Linked DNA regions of Anolis sagrei. The protein of the gene in region 1 purifies or fractionates together with the protein of each later gene. This does not show direct contact. Links are inferred from orthologs where the notes say so. Each region holds a gene or a part of one and is shown on either strand. Other genes may lie near its edges. The genes, in order: NUMA1, EPB41L3 and EZH2.

What was found.
Region 2: the proteins of NUMA1 (region 1) and EPB41L3 purify together in Homo sapiens (affinity purification with mass spectrometry; 3 studies listed by BioGRID and IntAct, with this or other methods). This does not show direct contact. The link is inferred for Anolis sagrei from reciprocal best matches to the Homo sapiens genes NUMA1 and EPB41L3.
Region 3: the proteins of NUMA1 (region 1) and EZH2 purify together in Homo sapiens (affinity purification with mass spectrometry; 3 studies listed by BioGRID and IntAct, with this or other methods). This does not show direct contact. The link is inferred for Anolis sagrei from reciprocal best matches to the Homo sapiens genes NUMA1 and EZH2.

What each region holds. Positions count from the first base shown.
Region 1 is NC_090023.1:4,834,334-4,841,298, reverse strand, and holds the start of NUMA1 (nuclear mitotic apparatus protein 1), read right to left. Parts: upstream 3,028-6,965; 5' UTR 2,998-3,027; coding exon 2,984-2,997; intron 1-2,983. UniProt on the Homo sapiens protein: Microtubule (MT)-binding protein that plays a role in the formation and maintenance of the spindle poles and the alignement and the segregation of chromosomes during mitotic cell division.
Region 2 is NC_090024.1:62,974,224-62,982,190, forward strand, and holds the start of EPB41L3 (band 4.1-like protein 3), read right to left. Parts: upstream 3,047-7,967; 5' UTR 3,025-3,046; coding exon 2,973-3,024; intron 1-2,972. UniProt on the Homo sapiens protein: Tumor suppressor that inhibits cell proliferation and promotes apoptosis. Modulates the activity of protein arginine N-methyltransferases, including PRMT3 and PRMT5.
Region 3 is NC_090026.1:63,278,896-63,286,615, reverse strand, and holds the start of EZH2 (histone-lysine N-methyltransferase EZH2), read right to left. Parts: upstream 3,078-7,720; 5' UTR 2,997-3,077; coding exon 2,941-2,996; intron 1-2,940. UniProt on the Homo sapiens protein: Polycomb group (PcG) protein. Catalytic subunit of the PRC2/EED-EZH2 complex, which methylates 'Lys-9' (H3K9me) and 'Lys-27' (H3K27me) of histone H3, leading to transcriptional repression of the affected target gene.

The DNA.
Region 1 (6,965 bases):
TAAACTCTTTTTCCTAGTTCCAACAGACCTCACTACCTCTGAGGATGCTTGCCATAGATGCAGGCGAAACGTCAGGAGAGAATGCCTCTAGAACTTGGCCATATAGCCCGAAAAAACCTACAACAACCCAGTGATTCCGGTCATGAAAGCCTTTGACATACATTAAAACTCAACAGCTACTGATTGGCTTGAGCACATGCAGTTGCACTGGAGGCTTCTAAGAAACATATGGTTGTTCATTTCACTAATTCTAACAATGTAAGAAAGACAGTCATCCAGGTCCCCATCTAAAAATTGACAAATAAGTAGTATCTTTACTAGGCAACAATCAAAATCCACACGGCCTTTCAGGACCTACAGAATTTTGACAAAACAGTCCACTCTCATTTCTGCCTAGCTGAAGAACAGAAGAGTCATGCAGATCCATAAAACTAAGTCTATGGCTAAATGCTTAAATATCAGGTCACTTGAAATAAAAGAAAATGGGGCCCAAGGAAGAGGAAAGAATTGGCTTGCTCGCCCACAACAATTAAGTATATGGGGAAAAAGAATTGGGGTGCAGGTGGGTGTAAAATAGAGTGGCAAGCAACACTTATCTCTATTCCAACTTTCTCCAAAAATTTCTTTCTCCAACTTTCTTACAAGATGCACGGTGCACACATTAAATAAAAACGTGTCATAAAGAAAGGAGAAAACACTTTCTTCCTTTCCTACTTTTAGGAACAACATTCACAAAAGATGAAAGAAATAATAATAATAATACTTTATTTATATCCCGCTACCATCTCCCTGGCTTACATGAGGCCGAGGCCATAGAACAACAATAATTAAAGCAATCACAAAACATCAATACAAAACAATCAAAATAATCTCATAACAAAATAAACAATAAACAGTAACAATAAACAACAAGCATTTAAAAACTTATGGCTGGGCCAAATGTGATAATTAAAAATTAAATAATAATAATAATAAAATAAAAATACCCATGTGGGAACAAGGAATCCCTTAGCATGGCTCACTTCATGCATCTGAAGAATTAGATGCACAAAAGCAGGCACCACAGTAAATATATTAGCTGTCATGACAGTCTTGCTGTCCTAGTGCAATATGTTAGAGCAGGGAAGGTGGCAGGGGCATCTTTTAGGCATTCACTCCTTCTGAAAACCAACTATCACCCGCTCTGTAGTGACAACCACAATGCTTTCCTGTCAAAGCCGTCAATCATTCTAGAGGGCTACAATTCACACAATGCTGCCTGGAGCTTCTGGAAGCTGAGAGCAAATCATCAGGAGGACCAAAGGTTCATTACTAGCTGTCAGGAGAAGGGATTCAGTGTGCACTTTGTCGCCCTCACACTTGTTTCTTTGCTGTTTATGAAGGACAATTCACACAGCAACAGGGCTGTAGCAAAGCAGTAGAGTCTCGCTTATCTAACATAAATGGGCCAGCAGAATGTTGGATAAGCGAAAATGTTGCCCATGCCTGCTCTACTGTAACTATCAATTAGACGCAAAAACATCATGCGGAAACTTACTGGCAGCACATGGGGTGCAGACCCAAAATTAGTACGGACATCAGCCGTGGCCTTGTCTGACTCAACTGCCGAGTATACCTGCCCTGTTTGGCATAGGTCTGCCCATGCAAAGCAGGTGAACATAGCATTGAACGAAAGATGCAGAATTATCCCAGGATGTCTTAAACCTACACCTGTTGATAAACCCTACAAGCTAGATCATAGAATCAAAGAGTTGGAAGAGACCTCATGGGCCATCCAGTCCAACCCCCTGCCAAGAAGCAGGAATATTGCATTCAAATCACCCCTGACAGATGGCCATCCAGCCTCTGCTTAAAAGCTTCCAAAGAAGGAGCCTCCACCACACTCCGGGACAGAGAGTTCCACTGCTGAACGGCTCTCACAGTCAGGAAGTTCTTCCTAATGTTCAGATGGAATCTCCTCTCTTGTAGTTTGAAGCCATTGTTCCGCGTCCTAGTCTCCAAGGAAGCAGAAAACAAGCTTGCTCCCTCCTCCCTGTGGCTTCCTCTCACATATTTATACATGGCTATCATGTCTCCTCTCAGCCTTCTCTTCTTCAGGCTAAACATGCCCAGTTCCCTAAGCCGCTCCTCATAGGGCTTGTTCTCCAGACCCTTGATCATTTTAGTTGCCCTCCTCTGGACACATTCCAGCTTGTCAATATCTCTCTTGAATTGTGGTGCCCAGAATTGGACACAATATTCCAGATGTGGTCTAACCAAAGCAGAATAGAGGGGTAGCATTACTTCCTTAGATCTAGACACTATGCTCCTATTGATGCAGGCCAAAATCCCATTGGCTTTTTTTGCCGCCACATCACATTGTTGGCTCATGTTTAACTTGTTGTCCACGAGGACTCCAAGATCTTTTTCACACGTACTGCTCTCGAGCCAGGCATTGTCCCCCATTCTGTATCTTTGCATTTCATTTTTTCTGCCAAAGTGGAGTATCTTGCATTTGTCACTGTTGAACTTCATTTTGTTAGTTTTGGCCCATCTCTCTAATCTGTCAAGATCGTTTTGAATTCTGCTCCTGTCCTCTGGACTATTGGCTATCCCTCCCAATTTGGTGTCGTCTGCAAACTTGATGGGAAGTTGCTGCTAAATTTAAGAGAAATAAGGTTGAACACTGTGAAAGCCACCCACTACATGGCTACCAGCCTCCTCCCAGTAGACTCAAATCAAGGAAAAGCTTTATGGGAACTACCACTCCTCTTGGTGTCCCTCCAGCAACAGCAAGGGTATCCCTCTGGGCAGCTAAACCAGGAAATCCCAACTGGGTGCCCCCCAGTTGGGAATGGTGGGAGTTGGAAGTCCAAAACACCTGGAGGGGAGGGCCGAATTTTGCCTTGCAGAAGGAACAAAGGGAGGCCTCTCCTTCAGAGGAAGGACCAGGAAGCCTTCATAAGGAGTCCAGAAGGAGAAGGCGCGGGAAAGGCAAACAAACCTCCGAGGCTTCATCCTCAAAGACTGCTAAACTGCCTGGCTGTATGTTGAGGCCTTCCTCCCTCCCTCCCTCCTCCTGGCTTAGATTAAGAGGAGGAAGGCCCGTCCAGGCAGGCAGGCAAGTGCCCGGATGTGGAAGGCCCAACTGCGCTCGCCTGAGCCTCCTCCTCTTCCCAAGGAGAGAGAGAGGGAGGGAGGGGGAAGCAATTAGGGACGGACACAGGCAGGAGCCCCCTCTTTATTTACTTCCCTCCCTCCCTCCTGAAACAACAAGCAAGCACCCCCCCCCCCTTTGCCTTTGTCCAGGCCTTACCGGAGTAGCAAAGCCAAACAGTTTTTCTTTCTCTGGGCGCCAAATGTTTAATCCGTCATTAGCGTTTGAAACCTGGAAGAGGAGGAAGGAGGGAGGAAGGGCTGGAGGGTGGCCAAGGCGCGCGCAGGCGCCCCAGGAAAGAAAAGTTGTTGCTCAAGGCCCGCACAAGCCCCGCCCCCTTCTCCCTCCAGCCCCGCCCTCCTTCCCTAACCCCGCCTCCCTCCCCCCCAAGACAGGCGAGGTGCCAGCTGACGTCACAGCCAATAGGCGCAGGCCAGGCCAGAGCCCGAGTTGGGCCTAAAGAAGCTTGCAGGAGGAAACCTCCTCCAGGTTTATTTATGAACCAGAAGCAGAGGAAAGAAAGGGACCTTACAGGCCATCCAGTCCAACCCCATTCTGCCAAGAAGCAGGACAATCGCATTCAAAGCATCCCTGACATATAGCCTCTGTTTAAAAGCCTCCAAAGAAGGAGCCTCCACCACACTCCGGGGCAGAGAGTTCCACTGCTGAACAGCTCTCACAGTCAGGAAGTTCTTAGAATCATAGAATCAAAGAGTTGGAAGAGATCTCATGGGCCATCCAGTCCAACCCCATTCTGCCAAAAAGCAGGACAATCGCATTCAAAGCACCCCTGACAGATGACCATCCAGCCTCAAAAGAAGGAGCCTCCACCACACTCAGGGCAGAGAGTTCCACTGCTGAACAGCTCTCACAGTCAGGAAGTTCTTCCTTGTGTTCATAGAATCCTAGAGTTGGAAGAGATCCCATGGGGCATCCAATCCAACCCCATTCTGCCAAAAAGCAGGACAATCACATTCAAAGCACCCTCGACAGATGACCATCCAGCCTCTGTTTAAAACCCTCCAAAGAAGGAGCCTCCACCACACTCGACTACACTCCCTGGTAGAGAGTTCCACTGGGTTGTTGTAGGTTTTTTCGGGCTATATGGCCATGGTCTAGAGGCATTCTCTCCTGACATTTCGCCTGCATCTATGGCAAGCATCCTCAGAGGTAGGGAGGTCAAAATGTCAGGAGAGAATGCCTTTAGACCATGGCCATATAGCCCGAAAAAACCTACAACAACCCAGTGATTCCGGCCACGAAAGCCTTCGACAATACAGAGGGTTCCACTGCTGAACGGCTCTCATAGTCAAGAACTTCTTCCTAATGTTCAGGTGGAATCTCCTTTTTTGTAGTTTGAAGCCATGGCTCCATTGCACCTTAGTCTCCAGGGCAGCAGAAAACAAGCTTGCTCCCTCCTCCCTATGACTTCCTCTCACATATTTATACATGGCTATCATGTTTCCTCTCAGCCTTCTCTTCTTCAGGCTAAACATGCCCAGCTCCTTAAGCCGCTCCTCATGGTAATCAAGGTGACCAATTAAAACATTCACACCTAGCTCCAACAGATGTTATTTATTTATTTACTATATTTCTATACCACCCTTCTCAGCCCAAGGCCAACTCAGGGCGGTTTACAAAATGGCACAATTTGGTGCCACAATAATATAAAAACAGCTTAAAGCATATAACACACATAAAAGTCCTTAAAGCATATAACATCCATAAAAATGCATATAACATACATACAGGAGCCCCCGGTGGCGCAGAGGGCTAAAGCACTGTGCCGGCAGGACTGAAGACCGACAGGTCGCAGGTTCGAATCCGGGGAGAGGCGGATGAGCTCCCTCTATTAGCTCCAGCTCCTCATGTGGGGACATGAGAGAAGCCTCCCACAAGGATGATAAAGCATCAAAAATCATCCAGGCGTCCCCTGGGCAACGTCCTTACAGACGGCCAATTCTCTCACAACAGGAGCGGTTGCTCCTGACACGACCAAAAAACATACATAAACAGTAAAATCAATAAATGCATAAATCCTCCACATCTCAATACCCAATCGTTATACGATCACAATTGTCCAGTCGTTTCGAGGTCAAGAAGTTATCTGCTACACTGCATTTGAGAAAGCCTGCTCACAAAGCCAAGTTTTGACTTTTTAACAAAATATTAATAATATTAAGAGCTCCCTAATGTTCCTAAGGAGAGGTTTCCACAGCCGAGGGGCCACCACAGAGAAGCCCCTATCTCTCGTCCCCACCAATCGAAGCTGTGAAGAAGGCAGGACCAAGAGCAGGACCTTCCCAGAAGATCTTAAATTCCTAGATGGTCATAAAATATGAGTTCTTTCTCCGACCCTGGACATTCCACAGATATATCAACCCCATTTTCCTAGTTTTCAACAGACCTCTCTCAACCTCAGAGGATTCCTGCCATAGATGCAGGTGAAATGTCAGGAGATAATGCTTCTGAAGCATGGCCAGACAGCCCAGAAAACTCACAACAACCCAGAACCAGGTTTAGTTATAAACCAGAAGCAGCTAAAAGAAAGAAGACTCCCCACAAGGCCATTCGGTCCAACCCTCTTCCTCTAGGTAGGAATGCACACAATCCAAGCCCTCCCAAAATATGACTGTTGTCTGTCACTTTCGCAAATAACAGAGAGGTCCAAGCTAAGGCACCATCTAAGGTAGGTATGGGCAAACTTCTGCCCTCAGTGTGTTTTGGACTTCAACCCCAGCAATTCCTAACAGCCGGTAGGGTGTTAGAAATTGTGGAGGTTGAAGTCCAAAACACACGGAGGGCAGAAGTTTGCCCATGCCTGATAAGGCCTCACTGCAACACAGAGGTCACCTCAACTACTGCAATCCAAGGCAGAGACATCTCCAGCTCATCCCCTGTTTGGGTATCAGCCAGCACGTCAACGACTTAAATCAAGAAAGAGTTTTCTAAGATCTACAGAGACACTCGCTGGAACACCTCTGCAAGCAAGAGTCCAAAAGTGGCAGGCTCAAACCCAGAACCTCAACCAATGGCTGATACCAAATGAGACTCCCCCATGGGCACACGGAAAACTGGGCAACTTGGAAGGCGCTGAACAGACTGCGCTCTGGCACCACGAGATGCAGAGCCAACCTCAAGAAATGGGGCCACAAAGTGGAACCCACGACATGCGAGTGTGGAGAAGAGCAAACCACTGACCACCTGCTGCAATGCAACCTGAGCCCCGCCACATGCACAATGGAGGACCTTCTTGCAGCAACACCAGAGGCACTCCAAGGGGCCAGATACTGGTCAAAGGACATTTAATCAACTACTAAGCTTGCAAACTCTTGTTTTGTCTGTTGTTAAAATTTTAATACAATTGTCTGGTTGATACTGACACGATAAATAAATAAACTTCTGCAATTAACAGGTCGGTATAGTAATACCCGCAGTAGACCCTGACACAAGTTGGCCCTGCAATTAAGACTTAAGGAGTTGGAACTTGGTTAACATAAACATAAGGCAAGTGAGTTACTATATTTCCTGCTAATCGCTTAAACAATAAATAAATAAACTGATGGAATATAAAGACTACCCCTGGAAGATAAGAAGCAATTCATTTTAAATCCCGCTTGGGTTTTTTTTTTCTTTTCTTTTGCTGCCTGCTGAACTGCAAGACATCCCTTTGCAGGCGCTCATTAGAAACAGCTGTTTGAAAGAGGCACATTCCTGCAAGGGCCCCAGGGACCTTGAACGCCGCCCAATCTGGCAAACCCTGCAAGGAAAGGAGGCCACAGAGAAAGAGAGGCCTGCTTTGCCTCTTGCTAGGACTGCCCTCCAGAAT
Region 2 (7,967 bases), on another chromosome or scaffold:
TGACTCTGGGGGTTGATGCTCATCTCCATTTCTAAGCTGAAAAGCCAGCGTTGTCCGTAGACACCTCCAAAGTCATGTGGCCAGCATGAATACATGGATACTTTAGCAGCCAAACAAAACACATACACACAATTCAGATACATGAGTGCAGTATCAGCAGGTTTAGAATGCTGCCTTTGTTTGTAGAATACTTTTTAAAATTCAGTAAAAAAAATATTTCTTAAAAGATGAACATGCCAAATGGCTGGGCTAACTGAAGCCTTGAACAGATTCACTCCATGCTGGAACCTTTTATTATCCTACTTATATGACCAATTCTTTAATGAATTTGAAAAGTGGGACCAAGAAAACTATATCAGAATAACTGTTCATTACATTCCAGAGAGAAAGAATTAACCAACTATTAATCAGTCAGGATTCAATTGCACAAAATAGTTTTGGCATAGTTCATATTCATTATTATTTATTTATTTACCATATTTATATCCTGCCTTTCTCACCCAAGACGGGACTCAAGGCGGTCATAAGTACAAGTCATAATTACTGCCATAACCCTGAAACCTTCAGGACCTACCTGACACTGGCAAAGCACAGACTGAATCTGCTGATGCTGTCTTTAAATATGGACTCTGAGCATTATTACTCATTAATGCACTTTAACCCTTCCCTATCTGTGGATTGCCCTTTGGAAACAACTTTCAGCATAATCCTTACCCATCCCTTCCTAAGGTTGCAATAGACCCACCCAGTCAAGTGCTCTCTCACTTCCGTGCCTTTGGTCTAATGAAATCAAACTGCCCAGCTCCTATCAGAACCGCGAGTCTCCTCTCCTTTCAGCTACTTGTTCGGACAATCAGCAATTAGCTTAAGCAGAGCTCGCTGTAATGTCACTGAACTGCAGGGGAGGCACAAGCCGCAGCCAGCGTGTGAAACAACTGTATTCTGCAGAGACAAAGATAAACATAGCCACTCTTGGAAGGAGTCCAGCTTTAAGAAGAACCCCAACATAAGCTTACTAAAAAAAGGATCCTAATTACTCTTGGAGATAAAGGAGGGCCTTTAAAGTTTTTCTCTCCCACAGCTAAAGTAGCTGGAGAGGGAAACTGGCATGCTTATCAGTTACTGTTTCCTCACCCGTTACTCTTTGATTCCCATTTGGAGCCAGCGGGTGAGGTAAGGAAAAAAATAATGGAAGGCAGGGATTTAGAGGCACACACACACAGGGCCCTTCCACACAGCCATATTCCCCAGAACATCAAAGCAGAAAATTCCACAATATCTGCTTTGATCTGGGTTATCTGAGTCCACACTGCCATATATCCCAGTTCAAAGCAGAAAATGTAGGATTTTCTTCAGCTATGTGGAAGGGAACACACACACACATTTATGTACAGTATATGGTGGCCACTATATTATTTTCATTTCCTCACCATCCCCTAGAATATCAAGCTACATGGAAGGAGACAAATATTATTTACTAAGATTCAAACACAGCAGAGTCAAATTGTATTCGTGCATGCACATGCGCACTAGTTGAAAATGTAAGCCAGTAAGAGGGAAAAGATATAATTGCCTGGCTACCTTTTCTTTCTTTTTACTAATTATCACAAACTATTACCTTCATCGAGAAATTCAACAGAATACAAAAGGTTTGATACAAGGACTATGGAAGCATATCAAAAACACACAGTAAGGAAAAATGAAAGAATATGACAAATGAATTTCTGCAAGTATACGTCTGATGTACATAAATACTAGTAATGTATTTTAGTAAAGCAAACCAGTGACATTTGCTTTATGTTTATAAAGAAGGCAAGACATCAAGGCATTACTGCATTAAAGAAATTAATCAATTAATTCCTTCCAATCAAGAGGACCCAAGAAATTTAGCAAACACAGAAATGATGGCCAGCAGAAGTCCAGTCATCCTAAAAGCCAAAGAACAGGTTTCCTTTCTTGGAAAGGAAAATCTCACATCGCCCACACACTGTTCATTACGGCTGCTTATGTATCTATTAATGCCATGCCACCAGCTTCCTTAGAGCGCCTGATTGTTGTTTCCCCCACAGGCGGCACTGCAGGGTGCCCACAGTCCCTTCTGCACCATCACTTGATCCTGCTGTGGGTATGAGACAGCAAGAATCTCCTGTGTGCCTAGATTCGTTCCAGCACACACCCCACTCACAATCCAGACCAACCATCTGCTGAGAGGCAAGAGCCTTCCGCCTGTTTCAAATCCTATTCCCTCTCGATGGGGGAAAAGAATTGCAAATGATAAGTAAGAGAGAAACACTATCAGGTTCATACAGTGCACACACTTACAGAAATCTAAGAAAAATGAAGAACACAGACCTCATAAAAACATTTTGAGCTCAAGAGATAAATAAACTAGACTTAAAAAATTGGAAGAGAATATGGTATCCCCACAAATATACAGCAGCTTCTTTCCAGAATACTATCCAGTCTCCTTCAGTATGTGAGCCTTCCTTTTTCTATTTTACTGAAAGATGGAAATGAAGACAGCACCTTGCATTCCATCCTGCCCACACAAACCATTGGCTATTTGTGGAGGGGCTGAGAACGCAACCTGAATTTCTGCCAAGAGCAAACAGGTTAAAAACATTAGAAAGAAGCTTATAAAGAATATGAAGAACAGACAGAAGAAAAGATCCCCAACCTTCTGCTTGAATTGAAGGAACAACCCACAAGGCACAAGCCGTGAGATGAGGTTTGCTTTTATCCAGATACATATGGGCAGTGAGAAGTTGGGGAGCCAAAGTTGGTCTTGATACTGAACTGAAAATACATACGAATCAATCAATTGTTGCGAACTGTCATCAAGTCAACTTCGATTTATGGTGTCCCCATAAATGAGAGACCTCCATGTCACCCTGTCATCCATACCCTGACTCAAATCTTTCAGAATCACTAATAATAATAATAATAATAATAATAATAATAATAATAAAAACCTTTATATTCCACTCTAGCTCCCCAAAGGGACTCAGGGCAGATTCCAAACATAAAAGGCAATCATTCAATGCCCAGGGACATGTCTTCCTTGATATATCCATCTGGAATGTGGTCTTCCTCTTTTCCTACTGCCTTCTATTTCACCAAGCATTGTCTTTTCTAGGGAGTCATGCCTTTCCATATGTCCAAAGTACATCCATCTCATTTTCAGTCATCTTGACATTTAGAGAGACTTCCACATCACCCTGTCATCAATAACATAAGATTCCATCAATTGTTGATAACCATCATCACTGACTTTGATTTAGGGTGACTCCACAAATGAGAGACCTCCAAGTCACCCTGCCATCAACACCATAAGAGTCCATCAATTGGGTTGCTCTGAGTTTTCCTGGCTGTATAGCCTTTTTTTGAGAAGCTTTCTCTCATGATGTTTCATCCATACCTATGGCATCCTCAAAGGTTGTGAGCTATACTGGAAACTAGACAAGGGAGGTTTATATATCTGTGGAAAGTCCAGGGTGGGAGAAAGAACTCTTGTCTGTTGGAGGCAAGTGTGGATGTTGCAATTAATCACCTTGATAAGTCCATCAATTGTTGCTAACTGTCATCGTTGATGCAGGGTGACCCCAGGAATGAGAGATCTCCAAGTCACACTGCCATACAAGTCCTGCAGATGCAGAGACTGTCTTTCTTGATATATCCACCTGGAGTGTGGTCTTTCTCTTGTCTGATTGTCGATGTCCTCACTGTGGAATAACATGTGGGTCAAGAATAGGGCTCTACAGTCACCTATGTACCCACTGCCAAGACACTACGCTTGGAAAGCCATCATACTTGGACAACAAGAACAGAAAACAGAATGTTGGTGGGCATGAAAAGAGATTTAGAGATGGGCTCAAAGCCAACCTTAGCATAGACAGTGGGAACTGGGAAACCCTGGCCCTTGAGCGCTCCAGCTGGAGGTCAGCTGTGACCAGCAGTGCTGTAGAATTTGAAGAGGCACAAATGGAGGGTGAAAGGGATAAATGTGCCAAGAGGAAGGCACATCAAGCCAACCCCGATCGGGACCACCTTCCACCTGGAAACCAATGCCCTCACTGAAGGAGAACATGCAGATCAAGAATAGGTCTCCACAGTCACCTATGGACCCACCACCAGGACACCAATCTTGGAAGACAATCCTACTTGGACAACAGGAATCGCCTAAGTACTACCTTACCAAGCAAGATATTGTCTTTGCGATGGAGCCATGATTTCTCACAGTACGTCCAAAGGATAGCAGTCCTTAAATTGTCTTGCCTTCTGGAGAGTGTTCCAGTCTTGATTTGCGGTAGGTCTTTCCAGCAGTCCAGTATACACTCCTTTTCGAGGAGTTGCTTTCCTTCTTCTCAGCTTTCTGCAATGTCCAGCTTTCCCAAACATATACGGACATGGGGAATAGGACAGTCAGCATGGGAGATCCTAACTCTAGTACTGGAGAGCCGGGAAGGCTGAAAGGCTGGGGACGGAGGGAAAGAGGTCTCTGTCACGCAAAGGAAGGCGACAAGGATTCTTCCTGGCTGGAGGGACCGGGGACGGAGGGGGATCAAGAGAGGATTAGCCGGCCCCCTCCCGCGCAGGCGCACTGGCGCTGACCCCTCCAAGGGCCGACCTGGGCAAGCAGGCGGGCAGGGCGGGGGGAGGGCTTAAGGCTGAGCGCGGGCCAGGAGGGCTCCCACACACGCGTCTACGAGCTCGTATGGATGCGTAGACGCGTGTCCGGCTCCTTTTCGTCCCCCACTCAAGCAGGCTTCCTTGCAGGGGGGAGGCAAAAGCGGCATCTGTCCCCGCTGACCTCAAACCAAGGACAGGTCGCGCGCTCTCTTTCTCGGGGGTCCTTCCCTGCCCCGTCCACCCCACGCGCGCCCTTCCCAAAGTCCCGGGAGGAGGAGGAGGAGGCTCACCTGAGGAAGAATGGGACGCTGCTCCGGCGCCCTGAAGGAAAAGTGCGGAGGAAGAGAGAAGAGGAGGAGGAAGAGGAGGAGAGCGCTGGGAGGAATCCGCGCTTCCAAAGCTCCCGAGGAAAAGGAGGAGGAGGAGGAGGAGAAGCTCTCCTCCACCTGCAGCGCCAGGAGCAGCACTGCTCCTCGTCCTGGGCGCGCGCCGAGAGGCCGCCCCACAGCCCCGTAGCCACGCCCCCCGCCCGCAGAAGCGTCTCCCCATTGGCCCGTGCCCGGCTCCCGCGTGCCCGCCCTCCCTTCCCTTTCCTGGTGGGAGACTCAAGGCGCTCAGTGGCTTCCCTCAGAAGGGCGAGGAAGGAGCCTCCTGCATAGACGGTAATACACAGGGGGGCTCTTTATTTATGTAATAATAATAATAATAATAATAATAATAATAATAATAACTTTATTTATACCCCGCCACCATCTCCCCAAGGGACTCGGAACAGCTTACATGAGGCCAAGCCCAACAGTACCTCAATAAACAAAAGCAATAAACAAAAACAATAAATACAATGCAGTTAATACATATAACACATATAAACAATAAGGATTTAAAAACCTATGGCCGGGCCAAATGTAATAGTTTAAAAAATTAAAAAAATAACGCTGGGCATGAACAAGGTAGGATATAACTGGTATATTTCAAAGAGAGATGAGGGAACACAGTCAATCCTAAATCAGTGGTAAAGTGCATTTTGAGGGCGTATTGCTGAGAATTTTCCTTATTCTGGGAAGGCACACTGGAACAACCACGTTTTCAGGCTCCTCCTAAAGACTGCCAGAGTTGGGACATGCCTGATGTCCTTGGGAAGTGAGTTCCAGAGTTGGGGGGCCACCACCAAGAAGGCCTTCTCCTTCGTCCCCACCAATCACACCTGCGAAGGAGGTGGGAGTGCGAGCAGGGCCTCTCCAGATGATCAAAGAGATACACAGAAATGCGGTCACGCAGGTAGACGGGTCCCAAACCATTCAGGGCTTTATAGGTAAGAACCTGCTCCTTGAATTGGGACCGGAAAATGAATGGCAGCCCGTGGAGCTCCTTAAACAGGAGGGTTGACCACTCTCTGTAAGTCGCACCAGTTAGTATACCAATTTAAATTTCCAGGCCGTTTTCAAGGGCAGCCCCACGTAGAGTGCATTATAGTAATCCAATCTGGAGGTGACAAAGGCATGGACCACCCTGGCCAGATCCGACTTCACAAGATACGGTCGCAGTTAGCGCACGAGTCTTAATTGTGCAAAGGCCCTCCCAGCCATCGCTGACGCCTGAGCTTCAAGTGTAAGTGATGAATCCAGGAGGACACCCAGGTTGCAGACCTGTGACTTCAGGGGGAGTGCAACCCTATCCAGCATAGGTTGCCACCCTATACCCCGATCCAGCATTTATTTATTAACCATATTTATATACCGCCTTTCTCAGCCCGAAGGCGACTCAGGGTGGTTTACAAATGGCACCATTCGATGCCTACAAAACAAAGAACAATTAAAACATTTAGCATAAATAACATTTGATAAAATAAAATAAAACCAATGAAAATATAAATCCACAGTGTCTCATTACCAAAATCATTACACAATGGCATTGTCCAGTCGTTCCCAAGATCAGAGTTTGTCTGCTACACTGCATTTGGGAAAGCTTGCTCAAAAAGCCAGGTTTTAACTTTTTTTCAGAATGTTAAGAGGGTGGGGGCCAATCTGATATCCCTAGGGAGGGCGTTCCATAGCCGAGGGGCCACCGCTGAGAAGGCCCTGTCCCTTGTTCCCCTCAACAAAGTCTGTGAAGAAGGCGGGACCGAGAGCAGGGCTTCCCCAGAAGATCTTAGGGTCTTAGATCGTTCATAAGGAGAGATATGTTTGGACAGGTAAGCTGAATGGCAGCCCAGAACCATTTAGGGCTTTATAGGCTAAAGCCAGCACTTTGAATTGTGCTCGGTAGCAAACTGGCAGCCAGTGGAGTTGACGCAAAAGAGGAGTTGTGTGTGCCCTGTGCGCCGCTCCTGTTAACAACTTGGACCATTTGAAGCTTCCGAACAGCCTTCAAAGGCAACCCCACGTAGAGAGCATTGCAGTCGTCCATACGGGATGTAACCAGAGCGTGGGCTACCATGGCCAAGTCAGACTTCCAGGTGTTTTGGACTTCAACTCCCATCATTCATGACAGCCTCAGGCCCTTTCATCTTCACCACAGCCACTTAAGCGCTTAAGCGGCTGTGGGGGAAAATGTTTGAGATCAAAATTTATTTATTTATTTCTAGTATTTCTACCCCGTCCTTCTCAACCCCTGAATGGAGATTCAGGACAACTTAATTCAGGAAGCAGCCAGGCTTTGAAGCTGCAATGCCATTCCATGCTAATCAAGGTGATCAATTGCAACAATCATATTTGCCTCCAGCAGACAAGAGTCTTTCTCCCACCCTGGACCTTCCACAGATATATAAACCTCCTTTGCTTAGTTTCTTTTGTACTGCACAACCTCTGAGGATGTCTGCCATAGATGTGGGTGAAACATCAGGAGAAAATGCTTCTGGAACATGGCCATACACCCCAGAAAACTCACAGCAAACCACTGTACCCATGCTTATTCCTAACAGACCTATGCAGATCAAACTGTCACTGTGCCACACAGTGAGATAGCAAGACTAAAAATATGTATGTTTGCAGAGCAGTGGCATAACAGATCTGGGACTCCAAGAATGGAATCCCTTTTTGATTGGCAGCCATGATGACACCATCAGGTTTCCTCCTTTCTGGTCTTTCTGAGCTGGGCTCCTGTCCTGGGTAAAGATGGAAAAAATGGACTTTTAGCAGCAGCCTATTTTTGTGAGTTCATCCTGATGAATTTGGATCTGGAAATGGCAATGAAGATCCCTTTGCTTTCCTACAGACCTGCTCCTGGCAGAGATGAAATGTGGAAGGAGAGGGGTGTCCGTCTGGACTAAGTGCCCATCTACATGATTTATTTATTTTGTGTCAAAAGCATTGCATAAATAAATAAGTTTAAAACTGATA
Region 3 (7,720 bases), on another chromosome or scaffold:
CCATCACTCATGAAAACACTGAAAAACATAACAGAAGGGACTTAAAAAGCCAAAAAAGCAAAAAGACACTACAATACATGCACAATAACAACTCCCTTTAGCAAACAAAACACACAATAGCATATCCACCCTCTCTTCTGGACTACAGTTCCCAGTATCCCCTAGACCCGGCCCTTTAGAGGAGGAGGATGAGCCAAATGCACTGCTTCCAAGCTGCAAGCATTCTTCTCCTTGGATGTCTTTGAAAGCATCCCAATCCCTGCATATTTCCAATTTCCTATTCCTGGACTGCAACTCCCAGCAATCCTCCAGATAGATAAGATAGATAGACAAATAGGTATGTGGATAGATTGATCAGAAGGAGTGCTGGGAGGTGCAGTCCAAGAATAGGCAGAGAAGGAAGAAAGCGGAGAAAGAGGAAGGGAAAGAAAAGGGGGGAAGGAAGGGAAGAGGAAGACAAGGAAGGAAAGAATGAAAGAAAGGGAAGGAAGGAGAAAGAAAAGAGGAGAGAAAGAGGGAGGGAAGGTTGGCCACAGCAACACATGGCAGGTACAGATAGCAAATAAATAAATATTGATACAAGCTGACCCATTTGAGGGTAGGGAGGGGGGATTCAAAGGGAAACTAACATTCTATATTGAAAAAGTAAAAACTGAAACTGTAACATAGTTACAAAAATTGAAAATAGTCATCTATATTAATTCATATACTGTCAAAGTTTGTACTATGATGTATTGTTAACTGCATGGTTTTCAAAAAAAGTAAACAAATAAGGGGAGGGGAAACTACCTTACACCTAGCTGAACGTTGTTTTTTCTGGTAAGCCATGTCTTATCATGATATGACCCTCACTGTGGAAGAACATGCGTGTCAAGAAGAGGGCTCTATAGCCACCTAGATATCCACCACCAAGACACAACACTTGAAGGGCCAACATATTCTGGCAAGGAGAGATCACCTAAGTCAGTGCTTCTCAACCTTCCTAATGCCACGCTCCCTTAATACGCTTCCTCATGTTATGGTGACACCCAACCATAAAATTAGTTCCATTGCTACTTCATAACTGCCATTTTGCTGCTGTTATGAATAGTAATGTAAATATCTGATATGCAGGATGTATTTTCATACACTGGACCAAATTTGGCACAAATACCCAATACACCCAAATTTTGAATACTGGTGGGATTGGGGGAGGGTACTGATTTTGTCCTGTGGGAGTTGTAGTTGCTGGGATTTATAGCTCACCTACAATCAAAGAGCATTCTGAACTCCACCAAGGATGGAATTGAATCAAACTTGGCACACAGAACTCCCATGACCAATAGAAAATACTGAAAGGGTTTGGTGGGCATTGACCTTGAGTTTTGGGAGTTGTAGTCAGAGGCGGCCCTAGGTAATTTTCAACGGTAAGCAAACCAACCCACCCACCCACTCATTGATATATATTTTCTGTTCATCATGGAAGTTCTGTGTGCCCTATTTGGTTCAATTCCATCATTGGTAGAGTTCAGAATGCTCTTTGATTTTAGGTGAACTATACATCCCAGTAACTACAACTCGCATATGTCAAGGTCTATTTTCCCCCAAGAGCGCCCCTGGTTGTAGTTCACCTACATCCAGAGAGCATTGTGGACTCAAACAATGATGGATCTGGACCAAACTTGGCACGAATTCTCAATATGCCCAAATGTAAACACTGGTGGAGTTTGGGGAAAATAGACCTTGACATTTGAGAGTTGTAAGTGCTGGGATATATAGTTCACCTACAATCAAAGGCACGCATTCTCAATATGCCCAAATGTAAACACTGGTGGAGTTTTGGGGAAATAGACCTTGACATTTGAGAGTTATAAGTGCTCCAAAAAATTGACGAATTTGTGATCATCCAGCGGCTCCTACACAATTATATGATAACAGGATTTATAGTTCACCTACAATCAAAGGCACGAATTCTCAATATGCCCAAATTCTCAATATTCCCCAAACTGGTGGGGTTGGGAGGAAATAGACCTTGATATTTGGGAGTTGTAGTTGCTGGGATTTATAGTTCACCTACCATCAAAGGCCCGAATTCTCAATATGCCCAAATGTAAACACTGGTGGAGTTGGGGGAAAACAGACCTTGACATTTGAGAGTTGTAGTTGCTGGGATTTATAGTTCACCTACAATCAAAGGCATGAATTCTCAATATGCTCAAATGTAAACACTGGTGGAGTTTGGGGAAAACAGACCTTGACATTTGGGAGTTGTAGTTGCTGGGATTTATAGTTTACCTACAATCAAAGGGACGAATTCTCAATATGCCCAAATGTAAACACTGGCGGAGTTTGGGGAAAATAGACCTTGACATTTGAGAGTTGTAGTTGCTGGGATTTACAGTTCACCTACAATCAAAGGCACGGATTCTCAATATGCCCAAATGTAAACACTGGTGGGGTTGGGTGAAAATAGACCTTGACATTTGAGAGTTGTAAGTGCTGGGATTTATAGTTCACCTACAATCAAAGGCACGAATTCTCAATATGCTCAAATGTAAACACTGGTGGAGTTTGGGGAAAACAGACCTTGATATTTGGGAGTTGTAGTTGCTGGGATTTATAGTTTACCTACAATCAAAGGCACGAATTCTCAATATGCCCAAATGTAATCACTGGCGGAGTTTGGGGAAAATAGACCTTGACATTTGAGAGTTGTAAGTGCTGGGATTTATAGTTCACCTACAACCAAAGAGCATTCTGAACCCTACCAAGGATTGAATTGGGCCAAACTTCCCACACAGAACCTCCCTGAGCAAGAGAAAATACTGTGTTTTCTGGTGGTCTTTGGTGACCCCTCTGGCGACCCCTCCAGGGATCCCGACCCCCAGGTTGAGAAACACTGGCCTAAGTAATGCCAATGAGTAATGTCTCTCTCCCTCCCTCCCAATGAGGCGCCCTCACCTGCTCACGAGCACGACTTCAGTCATTTCCACCTGTTTTCCCCGTAGCATGTTCATTTTCCCGGGCTCTTCATTCACTCTCCTGTAGACTAGCTTCGCCTCTCCCCGCTTACCTTTCCCATTCTCTCCCCATTGAGGAAGGCCCCGCCCCACCTGTCTTTCACAGGAAGCCACGCCCCCTCGCTCACTTGTAGGCGCCCCTCCCCCCCCTCCCACCCCCAAGCACGACAAAGAACTCGAAGCGGGTGTGTCTGCCTGTCTCTGTCCGGCTCCCTCACTCGCTCGCGCGCTTACCCCCTCCTCGCCGGGCCCGCGGCGCCCCTCTCTCGGCTCGCCTCCCGTCCGTCACGCCGCCCCGCTCACTTCTCCCTTCTTCTCCTTCTTCTTTCCTCCTCCTCCTCCTCTTCTTCGGCTCCGGACAACAGAGCGCCAAACCCGGCGGCGGCCAAATGGCCCCGGCTCTCATTGGAGAGAAGCTGCCGTCGTCCGGATTGGACGAACCGCGCTCTCCCCGCCCCCCCGTAGCCGGGTCTCAGCCAATCCTCGGCGTCCTGGGCCCGAGGGGCGGGGGCTTGCGCGCGCCCCCCACGTGCAGGGCGGGAAAGAGGGGGAAGTTCTTTGTTCTCGCGCTGTTTAGAAGAAGGCGGGAGTTGCCTCGGTTCCTCTTTTTCAAATGTGGTTTCTTCGCTGGGCGCGCGGGGCAAGCTCTCTCCCTCAGGAGGAAGTGGACCGCCTCAGCCCCGTTGCAAGGCAGGAGGGCGGGAGGCCGTTAACGGTTCTAACAGCCGTGGCTGCCTTTGCGCGCGCGCGGCCGGGGGGAATGGGGGAGCCTGGCCGCCCCTCAGGCGGGGCTCTGCGCCCGGCCCCCTCGACGCCTGTTGCTGGATTTGGGGGGGGGGGGGGGGAGGCCTGTTTCCACAAACAGTCGGGTCTGGCTTACAGTTGAGGTGCGTCTCTCTCTCTGCTGCTGCTGTTAGGAGCCACCATTGTTGTGGAGGTACAGAACCATCTTGAATCCGACTATCTATATAAATCACACGCATAAAGACATTACATATATTAGAAGCCAACACTTTCTCATTACTTTATTTTCCAGATCACCAGACTAGGCCACAGCAACACTTGGCAGGGGACAGCTAGTATATATAAAGAAAAAGGTAATGTTCGTTTGTGGTATTCACAGAAGTCAAAAACCACTAGATGAATTGACACCAAATTTGGAAACAAGACACCTAACAACCCAATGTATGTCCTTCACTCAAAGAAATTGATTTTGTCATTTGGGAGTTGTAGTTGCTGGGATTTATTGTTTACCTACAATCAAAGCATTCTGAACTCCACCAATGATGGAATTGGGCCAAATTTGGCACGAATATTCCATATGCCCAAATATGAACACAGATGGAGTTTGGAGGAAATAGACATTGGGGATTTCTAGTAATGTAATCAGAGCCATCCAGTCATAAAGATAGATACGATTCTCTCTCTCACACACACACACAGATATAGTATCATAGATTTGAAAGGGACCCTTAAAGAAGGACTATGATATGTTGCATCCTTGAAGTGACTGGACTGACCTTGAAGGAGCTGGGGGTGGTGACGGCCGACAGGAAGCTCTGGCGTGGGCTGGTCCATGAGGTCACGAAGAGTTGGAGGCGACTGAACGAATGAACAACAACATGATATGTTGCGTGTTCCACAGTAGGCAAACCAGACAATCGCCACATCAACACTGGCAAAGAAACTGCAAGAAATACTATTTACTCACAAGCATAAAGACATTACATATATTGGAAACCAACACTTCTCATTGCTTTATTTTCCAGATCACCAGACAGCCACAGCAACGCGTGGCAGGTGACAGCTTGTTGTTGTTCATTCATTCAGTCGTCTCTGACTCTTCGTGACCTCATGGACCAGCCCACGCCAGGGCTCCCTGTCGGCCGTCACCACCCCCAGCTCCTTCAAGGTCAGTCCAGTCACTTCAAGGATGCCATCCATCCATCTTGCCCTTGGTCGGCCCCTCTTCCTTTTACCTTCTACTTTCCCCAGCATAATTGTCTTCTCTAGGCTTTGCTGTCTCCTCATGATGTGGCCAAAGTACTTCAGCTTTGTCTCTAGTATCCTTCACTCCAATGAGCAGTCGGGCTTCATTTCCGGAGGATGGACTGGTTGGATCTTCTCACAGTCCAAGGCACTCTCAGAACTTTCCTCCAACACCACAGCTCAAAAGCATCGATCTTCCCTAAGGTCCAGCTCTCACGTCCATAGGTTACTACAGGGAATACCATGGCTTTGGCTGCTGCTGTTAGGAGCCACCATTGTTGTGTAGGTACAGAACCATCTTGAATCCGACTATTATTACTATTTATTTATATTTTTATCCCGCTTTTCTCCCATACCTGGGAGAACTGTGGTTAAAACAACAGAAATCCCATGACACAAAAAGCACAACATCACCTCCCCACAAAAAAAACATAAACAAATAGCACCTTGCATAAACCAGAAACAACAAATAATAATAAGTACCAAACATGTGCGCCAGCTGCGCCCGTACCTTGGGAAGTCTGACTTGACCATGGTAGTCCACACTCTGGTTACATCCCACATAGATTACTGCAACGCACTCTACGTGGGGTTGCCTTTGAAGACTACTCGGAAGCTTCAAATGGTTCGGCGCTCCGCAGCCAGGTTGCTAACAGGAACGGCACTCAGGGAGCATACCACTCCTCTCTTGTGCCAGCTCCACTGGCTGCCAATCTGCTACCGGGCACAATTCAAGGTGCTGGCGTTAGCCTATAAAGCCCTAAACGGTTCCGGCCCTACTTACCTCTCCGAACGCATCTCCACCTATGAACCGACTAGGACATTAAAATCATCTGGGGAGGCCCTGCTCTCGATCCCGCCTGCATCACAGGCGCGTTTGGCGGGGACGAGGGACAGGGCCTTCTCGGTGGTGGCCCCTCGGCTGTGGAATGCCTTACCTGTAGACATCAGAAAGGCCCCTTCGCTGTTGGCGTTCCGGAGGAAGGTTAAGACTTGGCTTTACGAACAAGCGTTTGGCTAAACAGTGCAAATGAATACAGGAAAACGGTAAAATCGAACATAGGAAAAAGGTACAAGGATTATGAGAACGGATTCTGATTTGCTGTTGAGGCGTTATGATATGATAATGATTGTTTTTGATTTTGTCTGTTATGGGGCCTGCATCAATAGGAGCATAGTGTCTAGATCTAGGGAAGTAATGCTACCCCTCTATTCTGCTTTGGTTAGACCACACCTGGAATATTGTGTCCAATTCTGGGCACCACAATTCAAGAGAGATGTTGACAAGCTGGAATGTGTCCAGGGGAGGGCGACTAAAATGATCAAGGGTCTGGAGAACAAGCCCCATGAGGAGCGGCTTAAGGAGCTGGACACATTTAGCCTGAAGAAGAGAAGGCTGAGAGGGGATATGATAGCCATGTATAAATATGTGAGAGGAAGCCACAGGGAGGAGGGAGCAAGCTTGTTTTCTCCTTCCCTGGAGACTAGGACGTGGAACAATGGCTTCAAGCTACAAGAGAGGATATTCTATCTGAACATGAGGAAGAACTTCCTGACTGTGAGAGCCGTTCAGCAGTGGAACTCTCTGCCCCGGAGTGTGGTGGAGGCTCCTTCTTTGGAAGCTTTTAAACAGAGGCTGGATGGCCATCTGTCAGGGGTGATTTGAATGCAATATTCCTGCTTCTTGGCAGAATGGGGTTGGACTGGATGGCCCATGAGGTCTCTTCCAACTCTTGATTCTATGAGTCTATGAGTCTATGTATAATGTGTTTTAATTGCTTATGATACTGTTGTGATAACCTGTATTATGTAAACCGCATTGAGTCGCCTAACGGGCTGAGAAAAGCGGTATAGAAATAAAGTAAATAAATAAATAATAAAGTGTTCCGCCTTGGATTAGACCACACCTGGAATATTGTGTCCAATTCTGGGCACCACAATTGAAGAGACAAACTGGAATGTGCCCCGAGGAGGGCGACTAAAATGATCAAGGGTCTGGAGAACAAGCCCTATGAGGAGCAGCTTAAGGAGCTGGGCATGATTAGCCTGAAGAAGAGAAGGTTGAGCGGAGACATGATAGCCATATATAAGTATGTGAGAAGAAGCCACAGGGAGGAGGGAGAAAGTTTGTTTTCTGCTGCCCTGAGAGGGATGAGAGGAGAAGTCACAGGTCCACAGTTTGGGGGTCCTCCTGGACTCATCACTGTCGCTTGAAGCTCAGGTGTCGGCGGTGGCCGGGAGGGCCTTTGCACAATTAAGACTCGTGCGCCAACTGCAACCGTACCTCGTAAAGGCGAATCTGGCCAGGGTGGTCCACACCTTAGTCACTTCCAGATTGGACTACTGTAATGCACTCTACCTGGGGCTGCCCTTGAAAACGGCCCGGAAATTTTAATTGGTCCAACGAGCGGCAGCCCGGTTGCTAACTGGTGCTTCTTACAGAGAGAGGTCAACCCTCCTGTTTAAAGAGCTTCACTGGCTGCCTTTCATTTTCCGGTCCCAATTCAAGGTGCAGGTGCTTACCTACAAAGCCCTAAACAGTTTGGAAACTGCCTACCTGTGTGACCGCATCTCTGTGTACGAACCCACACGATCTCTTTGTTCATCTGGAGAGGCCCTGCTCACGATCCCACCTGCATCGCAAGCGCGATTGGTGGGGACGAGGGATAGGGCTTTCTCTGTGGTGGCCCTTTGACTCTGGAACTCTCTCCCCAAAGACATGAGGCAGGCCC